Linked DNA regions of Rattus norvegicus. The protein of the gene in region 1 interacts with the protein of each later gene in a pairwise test. Links are inferred from orthologs where the notes say so. Each region holds a gene or a part of one and is shown on either strand. Other genes may lie near its edges.

Region 1 (4,108 bases):
TAATAATATGTAGCCCTTTCTTTGCGACAGGAATTGCTCTATGTACTTGACATGCTCGGAAAGATAGGTAACTGGTACACGTGCATCAGCAGACATCCAGAGATACCACTTCTACCTAAACTATCAGCTGTTAGAAGAGTTCTCTGTTTACTAACAGATATAAACAGCTCTGAGGAGAGGGACGTAGTGTAGCTCAGTGGCAGAGAAGGCTTGCCTGCCCAGTACAAATCTCTGCCTCCTGAGTTCAGTCCTGGAGGGCAAACGGCATTCCTACCTGAGCCACAGTGTTTACAAGCAACACTATAAAATAAAGGGTTTACAAGTTAGTTCAAGTCCGGACTCTATCATCTACACCTAGGGCTGCAAGGAAATTAAACCTCGTATAAGAAACATTCCACTAGGAAGAATGCAATTTCCACGACGGCAGGTTGTACTCCAGTGTCAAGAACCCGACCTGCCACAAAGGTAAGGGTAACTTTCCAGTGGTCCCGCTTGCAGTCCAACATGGCTTTACCAAAATCCAGAGGATCCCAGACAATTTAACACTCCCGATGCCGGCTAACCTCAATGCTAGGGACTGGTTCCTAACCTGCCTATCGCCCTCTCTCAGGGGACCTCCCCCAACCCAGCAGAAATCACCTATCCTGGAGATAGACACTCAGCCCACAACTTCTGAGCCCTAAATCCTGACACCCGAAGACAACGAGGTTCAGAAGAGAGGAATCCACTGGAGCCCTGGTCCGTCCCTCCCGCCACGCGGCTTCTACAGATGCAAGTCCAGCACGCAGTGCCTGGCAGCCACCACAGAAGGGAGCCAGGCTCCCTTCGGAGGCGCGGGGAATAGGAGTAGCTGTGCTTTTGGCTTGCACTTGAGGACTCTTACCTGGTCCCAGAGGGGATGCAGCCCGCGACAGCCACCAGACGAAGCTGACTAGGAAAGCAGAACTGAAGTGTCGCGGCTAGGCCCGGGAACCACCCCCTCGCCCTACGCCCACCTTTCCGACCAATCACAGGCCACAGGCTCCGGCCAGCCACGTGGGCGGTTTTGCACCTCCCGCAGGCCCGCTCGCCAGCTCGCCCCGCCCTCCCGCCACTCCCGAGACCGCCTGCGCAATGGGCGGGTGCTTTGGCGCGCTTGCGCACTTTGGGTAGAGAGGAGCAGAACCCCGCCCCATCCCGCTGCTCTGCTCCTTCGCTGTGCGTGCGAGGGACGTCAGGGGCGGCGCCGCAGCAGTTACCCCTGGTAACGGGGGAGGCAGGAGGAGGAGGCGGAGGAGGAGGAGGAGGAGGAGGAGGAGGAGGGACTCGGCTTGAGGATGGTGAGTGTGGGGGCCCCGGCCCTTCAGAGCTGACCAGTCACCCCCCCCTCCTGTCCCCAGGCCCAGGGCGGGGCGCTGCTCTTAAAGCGGAGGAGGACGTGGGATGGAGCTCGCCTTGCTCTTTCGGGTTCTAGATCGGTTTCAGGGGCGAAGGAGGAGCCCCTAAAGTGGGCCTGGAGGGAGGCCTAGGCCTAGGGAGAAAGGAGGGGTTTGCGATGGATCCGAGGCGTGGAGAGGGTACTTTAGTGCTTCTCTGGCGGGGATGAAGCCTAGCACCATCATCTTTCTGGGATGAAGGCGGCTCTGGAACTGCGGAGATCAGGCCGGGCTCACAGGCTTAGATCATACTGCAGAGCCGACCTCTCGGAGCCTCGGGACTGTGGGGTCCATCTGAGACCCGGCCAAAAGTGGGAGAGGCGCAGCGCTACGGTCTTTGAGATCACCCTCGTGGCACCAGGGAGCTGTAACCTAGTTTTCCTTTCCTAGATGCTCGCGTCTCTGAGTGAGAGAGGTGTGTAGGGAGTAAGTCCCAGGACAATAAGAGGTACCGCTGGAGATGAATGTCCCTGTGGTAGGTGCGCTCCTGCAGTCCCAACTTAGTCGCTGAAAGTTCTGCGAAGGTCTAATGGTTGTTGACGACCGATTTTTCGTTCCGTATTTATTCCATGTTGATAGAAGCAAATGGTCTTCGCCTCAAATGAGAAATAGAGAGTGAGCATCAATTTGAAACAAGCCTGTTCTCCGTTAGCCATAATTAAGGCCTTTCCAAAGTGTAAGTTAGGGTGTGTGACAGATTTGACGGGAGACACTCAGTTCCTTGTTGATTTTTTTTAAATTATTATTTTATTTACATGTGTACCAGTGTTTACCCTGTGTGTATGTTTGTGCACCACGTGTGTGCCTGGTTCCTGCAGAGGCCAGAAGAGGGCTTTGATGGAGCTGGAGTTATGGATGTCTGGGAACCGTCATGTGGGGACTGAACATCATGAGCGTTACTGAACATCTATCTGCCCTCCTTGTTAATTTTATACGCGGTAGATGGAGTAAAAACGAAGTTACGGGGAAATTAATATTTTTAGAGCTAGTCAAAGAAAACTTGATTTTAAAGCACTTAGTTTTTTTTTGTTTGTTTGTTTGTTTGTTTTTCGGAGCTGGGGACCGAACCCAGGACCTTGCACTTGCTAGGCAAGCGCTCTACCGCTGAGCCAAATCCCCAACCCCGATTTTAAAACACTTAGAACAGGTTGGTTGGCTTACTAAAGCTCAGAGCCAGTTACTGTTGCTTCTCTCATACACCACATTATTTTTGTAAAAATTTGGGGCCGCTTCTGTTGACTTAAGCCTAGTACTAGGGGTATAGCTTACTGGGTAGAGGTTTGCTTAGCAAGCATGAAGTCCTGAGTAAAACCATAGATGGGCAGGGGCTAAATTACACATCTGTTTTGGTATAATTATTGATCGAGTAAATTTTGACCAAAAAAATTTACAATGTCAAATTATTTAGTAGAATTATTTAATCTTAGGTTGTCAATCACACTTCATGCTTGTTACATTTACAGTTATTTCTAACCTCAGGCTAAACAGATTTTAACAAGCATTTTCTTTTTATTATTTACATATGAGCTGCCCATTTAAAGGCTGGGATTGTCTTAACAAATGAGTGCAGATATAAATATTTACACAGAAAATAAACAGATTTGAGAAAGGGGCCCTGCAACCCCTGTAACCTCAGCACTTGGGAGGTAGAAGGAGGAGCAGGAATTCAAGACCAGCCTGGGCTACATAAGACTCTGTTTCGTAATGAGTAGGTAATTTTTAAATTAATGGAAATAATTAGAACTGCAATTAAAAGACCTTGCCAGGATGTGTGTGGTGGCTCCTGCCTGTAATCCCAGTCCTCTCCATGTTAAATTAAGAGGATCACCATGAGTTAAGAGGCCAACCTGGACTACAGTTTCAGGTCGGCCTCAGCTAGATGGAGACCCTGCCCCAACAGCCATCCCCTTAAAAGAAAGAAACACATGCCAAACCAGGAGAAAATAAATGAGAAACAGTTTACTAACTTTCTTCAGTTTTTCAATTAAGTAGAGTACATAATTTTATGACTGCTTAATTTATAATTATAGGTCACAGTAAATGAACCACTGCTTGTGTTTCTAGGTGCAAATTGGCACTGTATTTAAGTATATAACAAATTGACCGTGTATATACAGATAAATATATATATATATATACACACACATATATATATATATATATATATCTTAGTGTTTTGACTGCAAACATGTATGTACACCGTAGGCATGTCTTGTGTCCAAGGAGGCCAGAAGAGGGCATTGCATCCACTGAAGCTACAGTCAGTTTTGAGCCACGGTGTGGGTGTTGAGAACTGAACTCCAGTTCTCTACAAGAGCAGTGAGTGCTTTTTTTTTTTTTCTATGTTGAATATTTTGTCTACCTGTACATATATATACCACATGAATCCCTCATGCCTTCAGAAATTAGGAGAGGGCTTCGAATCCTTTGGAACTAGAGTTACAGGCAGTTGTGAGCCACCTTGTAGAGGCTGGGAATAAGACCTGGGTCCTCTGTAAAAGCAACAAGTGCTCTTAACCACTGAGCCTTCTCTCCAGTCCAAAACAATTTTTTAAAAAAACTATTGGATTTATTAATTTTATTTGATCTGTCTTTTGCCTGCCTGTATGTGTGTGCACCACATAATACTTGCCGCCTTCAGAGGAGAACACCAGAACCCTGGGCGCTGGGTTACTGCTGTGTGGGTGCTAGGA
Region 2 (3,500 bases), on another chromosome or scaffold:
CCTCCTCTCTCTCCCCGACCTCCTCTCCCCCGATATCTCTCTCTCTCTCTCTCTCTCTCTCTCTCTCTCTCTCTCTCTCTCCCCAGCCCGTGTGCCCAAGAAAATTCTCAAGTGCAAGGCAGTGTCTCGAGAACTGAATTTTTCTTCAGCAGAGCAAATGGAAAAATTCCGCCTTGAACAAAAAGTTTTTTTCAAAGGACAATGCCTAGAAGGTATTCTATTCCTCGAGTGCCTGGAGCCGGAGTGCAGGAGGGGGGTAGGAGTAGGGGGGGGGGGCAACAGGCAGGGCAGTGCTCTGAGAACACTGACCTTATTACTAATAGAAGGTCTACAACACTGGGGAACCCCAGTGAAAACGAACCAAAACAAACTGGACACAATGGGGGCTTTGAGCTGTCTGACACCAGAAGCTCGAGTGCCCATGCCCGTGCCCGTGCCCGTGCCCGTGCCTAATGTGCTGTTACAATGTGATCTTGGAAGAAGCAATTACAATGAAGTGTAGTATAGGTCATGCCTATACATCAGAAGTCGTTACTGATAAGGACTCTGAATTCGATTCTCAAAATGTAAGAGAACAACATGTAGGCACTGTAGAGCGACCTACCTCTGTTAGTGCAGAGCTTGCTACTCCTAGGAAAATGATGCTTATGTGTCCTCCTCACTGATGCTTATCTATTAGACCCCATAAGAGACAGTCCTGTGTGCCCTAGGTGTAGTGGTGCACGCCTTTAATCCCAACACTCAGGAGGTAGAAGGAGGTGGATCTCTGTGAGTTTGAGGCCACCCTGGTCCACAAGTGAGTACCAGGACAGCCAGGGCTACACAGAGAAACCCTGTAGAAAGGAAGGAAGGAAGGAAGGAAGGAAGGAAGGAAGGAAGGAAGGAAGGAAGGAAGCCATTCTGTGGCACAAATCAGAAGATAGGCTGTGAATGTCCTGTGTCCTTTTGTGTGCCTTAGGAGCTATCTGATAGGTTCCTGTCATGGTCTGGACAGGAAGAGCCCACATTAATGGAGAGAGACACAGCCTGGGGTTCCCCCGTGCCCACAGATAGCGCCTGCTCACTGGCTTTTCCTTCTTCCCTTCAGAGTGGTTCTTCGAGTTTGGCTTTGTGATCCCTAACTCCACAAACACCTGGCAGTCCTTGATAGAAGCAGCGCCTGAGTCCCAGATGATGCCCGCCAGCGTCCTGACGTGAGTGAGGCCCAGGAGATTTCAAAGTGTATCCCAGAACAGCCTTTAGACAGCAGGGACTCCAGGTCCCACTCGCAGGCAGAGCTGGGAAGAAAGATGAGTAAAAGAGCACCCAGTGGTGTGTCAAGGTCGCTGGCTTCTGTCCTGTGAAAAGTAACGGCCTCAAAAACTGTAGGCCACATTTTAAATTTCCAGGTCACTCTGACTACTTGTCTCCTTGGACAATAATGTCTTATCTTGCCTTGCCTTACTTTCATGGGTATAATGAAGGTGAAAAATGAGACAGTGTGGAAGGGAACTGGCACAAAATAAACAATAACCCACAAAGGGATTAGGTGTGGCCACAATATTCCACTTTATAAGTGGAAGCACTGGGTTGGGGATTTGGCTCAGTGGTAGAGCGCTGGCCTAGCAAGCGCAAGGCCCTGGGTTCGGTCCCCAGCTCTGAAAAAAAAAAAAAAAAATAAGTGGAAGCACTGCTCTGCCATTTATGGCTCAGTGGGAGTGTTCTTGCCTGGCATGCACAGGGCCTACGCTCAGTTTCTGGCACAGCCAGAAAAAGAAAAAGGAAACAGAATGGGCCACTGAGATAACCATATAACCAGAAAAGTAAACCCCGTCCTCACTGTACAGGTGCCTCATTTAAGGCTCTTTGGTTTCAAACAACAGAATCAAATCCTCGGGAATAGAACTATTAGACTAAGCAGAGACCCAAGCAGCTTGGAATGGACAAGGGCAAGAATCCATTATGCCTTCCTCAAGGAGTAACTGAGGAGAGATGTTGGGGGTGTGGGGGTGTGGATCTGATTAGCATGACTAGAATGCTGTGACACCTCACATCTCAGCAGGGTTGTGGGTAGTCACTCAGCTGACCCAGGCACTAGAAGAGAGACTGTTCACAAAGGAAGAGCAGGGTGCCACTACCCAAAATCAGGAGAGTACTGCAGGGCAGGCCACACCCAACTTACTCAGTGTTGTAGGAAAGGCTGCCTTCCTGAGGTCAGCCCAGGATCTGCAGCCATCCATTAGGAAGCAAGCCAGAGGTGTCCATGAGATCTGTAAGCAGAGCACGCCGCAGACATTAGTGCGCCGAGACAAAAGGCACGTTCTTATTTCTGACTTTCTCCATTAGGAGAACAAACAGGAGTTTAACACTGCAAGACTCTAACTCAGATAGACGATACTTTAATTGTATTTGCCTTGCTTTGGTTCTCTTTTTTTTTTTTTTTTTCTTTTTTTCGGAACTGGGGACCGAACCCAGGGCCTTGCGATTGCTAAGCAAGTGCTCTACCACTGAGCTAAATCCCCAACCCCCTGGTTCTCTTTTGAGACAGGGTCTCACTTTGCAGCCCTGGCTGGCCTGGAACTTACCATATAGACCAGGTTGGCCTGGGATCACAGAGATTCGCTTGCCTCTTCCTCTCTAGTGCTGGGACTAACGGTGTGCACCACTGTGCCTGACGTTTGTTCCCCTTGTGAGATAGAACTCACTGTATAGCACAGAGTAACCTTGAACTCAGACCCTCCTGCCTTGGCCTTGGGGAGGGTTATGTGTGTACACCACCACACCTGGTTCTGGACAAGGCCTGTAATGGCCCAAGCTGAGGTTCTAGGTGGACATGTGCCCAGCCCAAAGCACCCAAATGGACACTGACTGTGGACAGGGGGCCTTGGCCTGTGGCACTCACTTTCTTTACCCTCTCGCTTCTCTCCCCCAGGGGCAACGTCATCATAGAGACAAAGTTCTTTGACGATGATCTTCTTGTCAGCACATCCAAAGTGAGGCTTTTCTACGTTTGAGAGAACTTGTGTGCACTTCCAAGAATCTGGAACAGGGGCAGGAGGAAGCTGTACTTGTTCCTCTGCACATTTGATTTTGATACTCCAGCTGATTCCTTCAACACAGAACCCACCTGTGGCACCAGGAAGCCAGCTCTGAAAGGCGGCCAGTCGGCTTTTCTCCCAAACCTCCATCGTCACTGACAAGACTAAACTCCCAACCCCAGCCAAGGGCAGGGAATAAGCCTCAACTCCTTCCTGGTGCAAACATGGGAACAAACCCCGTACTCGGAGCCACACTGCGCCTGTCACCTGCCCTGCCTCCTCCCTTGGGCCCTATAGGCTTTCTTTGGCCTCTGGTTTTGAAAAAAATTTACCTTTCTGACCCATTTAGTTTTTTTCCTACCACTTCTATTTCATACATTCTCATACCTTTAACTTGTAAAATAGACTATGATATTATTATTACATAATGTAATGAAAGCATTAAACTATTCCTACAGTCTTTAGCATGCCACTGTTTCCAAC
Region 3 (3,500 bases), on another chromosome or scaffold:
TTTTTATTAAATAATTTATTTAATGTATATGAGCACACTAACTGTCTTCAGACACACCAGAAGAGAGCATCGGATCCCATTACAGATGGTTGTGAGCCACCATGTGGTTGCTGGGATTTGAACTCAGGACCTCTGGAAGAGCAGTCAGTGCTTTTAACCACTGAGCCAGCTCTCTAGCCCTCTTCATTTTCTTTTGTTGTAATTGTTGTTGTTTAGTTTTTGGGTTGTCTTTGATATTATCGTTATCTTTTGAGACAGGGTTTCTCTGTGTAGCCCTGGCTGTCCTGGAACTTACTCTGTAGACCAGGATGACTTCAAACTGACAGATCCATTCTCCTGGAATGGATCACTATATACAGCTTGGATCAACTGGATCTCATGGAGTCGTCTCCTCAACTGAGGCTCCTTCCTCTCTGATGTCTCTAGCTTGTGTCAAGTTATACACAAAACCAGCCACTACTATATTCTTGATGTGTCTTGACGGTTGGTTTGGTATCGAGAGTTTTGTGTTTAGGGTCTAAGGTCCGGGCAAGCCTTGTTCTTCCTTGCCTTCTGGCCTCAGGCTCCCAAGCTCTAGGACTGCAGACGTGAGCTACGATAGTCTCCTGTTCCCTTGCTTTCTTAGTTCTGATTTCCAGATCCCTTTGGGCATCTTCCCACTCTACTAAGTGGTCAGCAGGCAGTAACAAATCCAAATTTGAAGACAAACAGAAGATGAAAACTAAATGTGGCAGCTTCTCAGCTTTTCCTAGCAACTGGAAAAAGACCTGTTGTTTTGTTTTGAGGTGTGTGGCTTAACCTAGATTAGTCTGAAAAATCACCTTTATAGAGTCTGACTCCAATCCTAGGTCTCTCCAGAAGCCCTCTCCTGAGGAGTTCTCCGTTGTTTTGCCCACTGTAGATATCCCACCTATCATGGAGAAATGGGCTTAATTAATTCTGGGTCACTTTTGAAGATTTTCTTTTAGTTGTAGAAATGCTAGTTGGCTCAGGATTGTCAGAATTCCCTACTTCTTGACCTTGAGTGTTTACTGTGAATTTCTACCTGAAGTCTCCTCTGAATTCACCTGGCAAGCCAGGGGACAGACACCGCATTCATCTTTATGCTCCAGATGAGAAGATTGGGATCTACAGAAGTAGTCACTTGTCCAAGGTCATACAAAGTACATGGCTGAGGAAGGGTTTGAACCCGGGGTAGTCTGGCCTCTTACAGACCCCACCCTTTAACCCACTATGCAGTTTTCACTGGTGCTGCTAAAATGATATTAAAATAGGAGGAAGGGGGACAGCAAGGTGGCTCACAAGCCTAACGGCCAAGTTTAATCTGTGAGACCCACATGGTAGAGGGAAAGAATCTACGCCCATCCTTTGGATGGGTACCATGGCTCATGCATGAATCCCAACATGCTGGAGGAGCCCTTTGAATTCCCAGCCAGCCTGAAATTCCATAGCAAGCTTCAGGCCAGTCAGCTGCACAGTGAGACCCTGTCTCAAAATAAATATGTAGCTTAAAAAGGGTGGTCAATAAGGTGGCTCAGTGGGTAATGTGCTGCTGCCCAGCCTGACGACCTGAATTCAGTTCCAAGCCCTTGTATGTGGACAGTAGAAGGAAAGAACCCCCTACAGGTTTTCCTCCCACCTCTGGCCTCATGCCATGACCAAGCAGGTGCACGTATGCACATTAAAAATGAATAAATGAAAATGTAATTTAAAGAGAAAAAAACTAGGGATGCAGGGTTTCTTGCCATTGTAGTCTCCCAATTTGAGAACTGATCTTTGGTGTACACAGTAAATGGGTGTGTTAAAGAGATCCCAGGTAACTCTTTGTGGGATTGCAGGTATCCTGTTCCGATAGATTATGGCCTCTCCCTCCCCCTCCCCCCCTTCTCCCCCTCCCCCTCCCCCCTCCCTGTATGTGTGTATATGTGGGTGTGTTTGGGTTGTTTGTTGCTTTTTTTCAGTTTTGTTTGAAACAAGGTTTCTCTATGTAACCCTGTCTACCCTGGGTTTTTTTTTGCTCTGTAGACCAGACTAGTTTCATACTCCGGTTAGCCTGCCTCTGCCTCCTGAGTGCCCAGGCTGTGACCCCAGCTCTCAGAGTCGGAAGGATGGCTACAAGTCCAACACTAGCCTGGTCTACAGAGTGAATTCCAGGTCAACCAAGCATATGGATTTATGGAGATCCTATCCCAAAAACTAAAAATAAAATAGTCGCAAAGACTTATAAGCCAGCAAAGTGCTTATTTTAAAAGGTTTATGCTGTACATTGTAGGTATATTTTACTACATTGTAAATGCATTTACTAAACTGTACCAGATGCTGAGTTCCAGCTACTGCAGAGAAGCTTCATGGACAAGTACTACCAGGAATTTGAAGACACTGAAGAGAATAAGCTCACCTATACTCCCATTTTTAATGAATATGTAAGTAGATCTGTTTCTCCTGCCAGAAAATTAAAGTTTCTCTTAAAATCTGAACTTAGATCTGTTATGTATAATTAATATATACTATTAAAATGTTTACATTCATATCAAAAAAGTTGCAAAGCCTGGTGGCACCTGTAGCCACCTGCCACTAGCACTCAAGAGGCTGAGGCAGAAGTATGGCCACAAGTTAGAAACCTGCCCAGGCTACCTCGTAAACTTCAAGTTAGCTTAGGTCGTTTAGCAAGATTATTTCTTTTAAAAAAGAAAAAAACAAATTGAAATTAGTTTACTCTTTATATATGCCAGTACTGCCAAGGGAATGCAGATTAGAATCTGGTTTGGATCATTTTCTCTTGCCAGATCTTAGAACTCTTTTTTTTTTTTTTAAGATTTATTTATTTATTTATTCATTTATTTATTATAAATACACTGTAGCTATCTCCAGACACCAGAAGAGGGCATCAGATCTCATTACAGATGATTGTGAGCCACCATGTGGTTGCCGGGATTTGAACTCAGGACCTCTGGAAGAGAAGTCATTGTTCTTAACAACTGAGCCATCTCTCCAGCCCCTTGGGGCTCTTTTCTAAAGGGTTTTCATGAAGTAGTCGGTGAGCGTACAGCTTGTGGTTTAAAACAAACCGGCCTTTACCGCAGTCTTGTCCTGCACTGGGAGACTTTGCATTTGTCTGCTGTGACAAAGCAGTGCCAGTGAGATGGCCAATGGGTAAAGCTCAAGATGAGGAAGGGAACTGGTTCCATAGGAGTTGTCCTTTGACATCCACATGCACACGGTGGCACATACATGCCCACTCACATACATCGTGTCCTCAATAATGATAAATCAAATAAAAACACGGGGCTGGGCAGATGGCTCCCAGAGGACTGCAGAGCGGCTCAGCACCTACATCCAGTGACTCTCAGCCCCCTATAAATCTAGCTCCAGAGGATCCAACACCCCCTTCTGGCCTCTGCAGCCATCTGCACTCATGGTGTATGTGCAAGCATGTGTGTGTGCGCACGCGCACACACCACAGGACCTCGGCTAATGACCAGAGGGCCCACCTCCCTGTC

Evidence for each region.
Region 2: the proteins of Arl3 (region 1) and Pde6d interact in binary tests that used the Homo sapiens proteins (3 or more experiments, as listed by UniProt). The link is inferred for Rattus norvegicus from reciprocal best matches to the Homo sapiens genes ARL3 and PDE6D.
Region 3: the proteins of Arl3 (region 1) and Arl2bp interact in binary tests that used the Homo sapiens proteins (3 or more experiments, as listed by UniProt). The link is inferred for Rattus norvegicus from reciprocal best matches to the Homo sapiens genes ARL3 and ARL2BP.

What each region holds. Positions count from the first base shown.
Region 1 is NC_086019.1:255,385,288-255,389,395, reverse strand, and holds the start of Arl3 (ADP-ribosylation factor-like protein 3), read left to right. Parts: upstream 1-1,308; 5' UTR 1,309-1,316; coding exon 1,317-1,319; intron 1,320-1,807; exon of another isoform or gene 1,808-1,875; coding exon of another isoform or gene 1,876-1,890; intron 1,891-4,108. UniProt on the Homo sapiens protein: Small GTP-binding protein which cycles between an inactive GDP-bound and an active GTP-bound form, and the rate of cycling is regulated by guanine nucleotide exchange factors (GEF) and GTPase-activating proteins (GAP).
Region 2 is NC_086027.1:94,640,919-94,644,418, reverse strand, and holds the end of Pde6d (retinal rod rhodopsin-sensitive cGMP 3',5'-cyclic phosphodiesterase subunit delta), read left to right. Parts: intron 1-86; coding exon 87-212; intron 213-1,087; coding exon 1,088-1,193; intron 1,194-2,911; coding exon 2,912-2,993; 3' UTR 2,994-3,487; downstream 3,488-3,500. UniProt on the Homo sapiens protein: Promotes the release of prenylated target proteins from cellular membranes. Modulates the activity of prenylated or palmitoylated Ras family members by regulating their subcellular location.
Region 3 is NC_086037.1:10,345,938-10,349,437, reverse strand, and holds part of Arl2bp (ADP-ribosylation factor-like protein 2-binding protein), read left to right. Parts: intron 1-2,272; exon of another isoform or gene 2,273-2,316; coding exon 2,317-2,423; intron 2,424-3,500. UniProt on the Homo sapiens protein: Together with ARL2, plays a role in the nuclear translocation, retention and transcriptional activity of STAT3. May play a role as an effector of ARL2.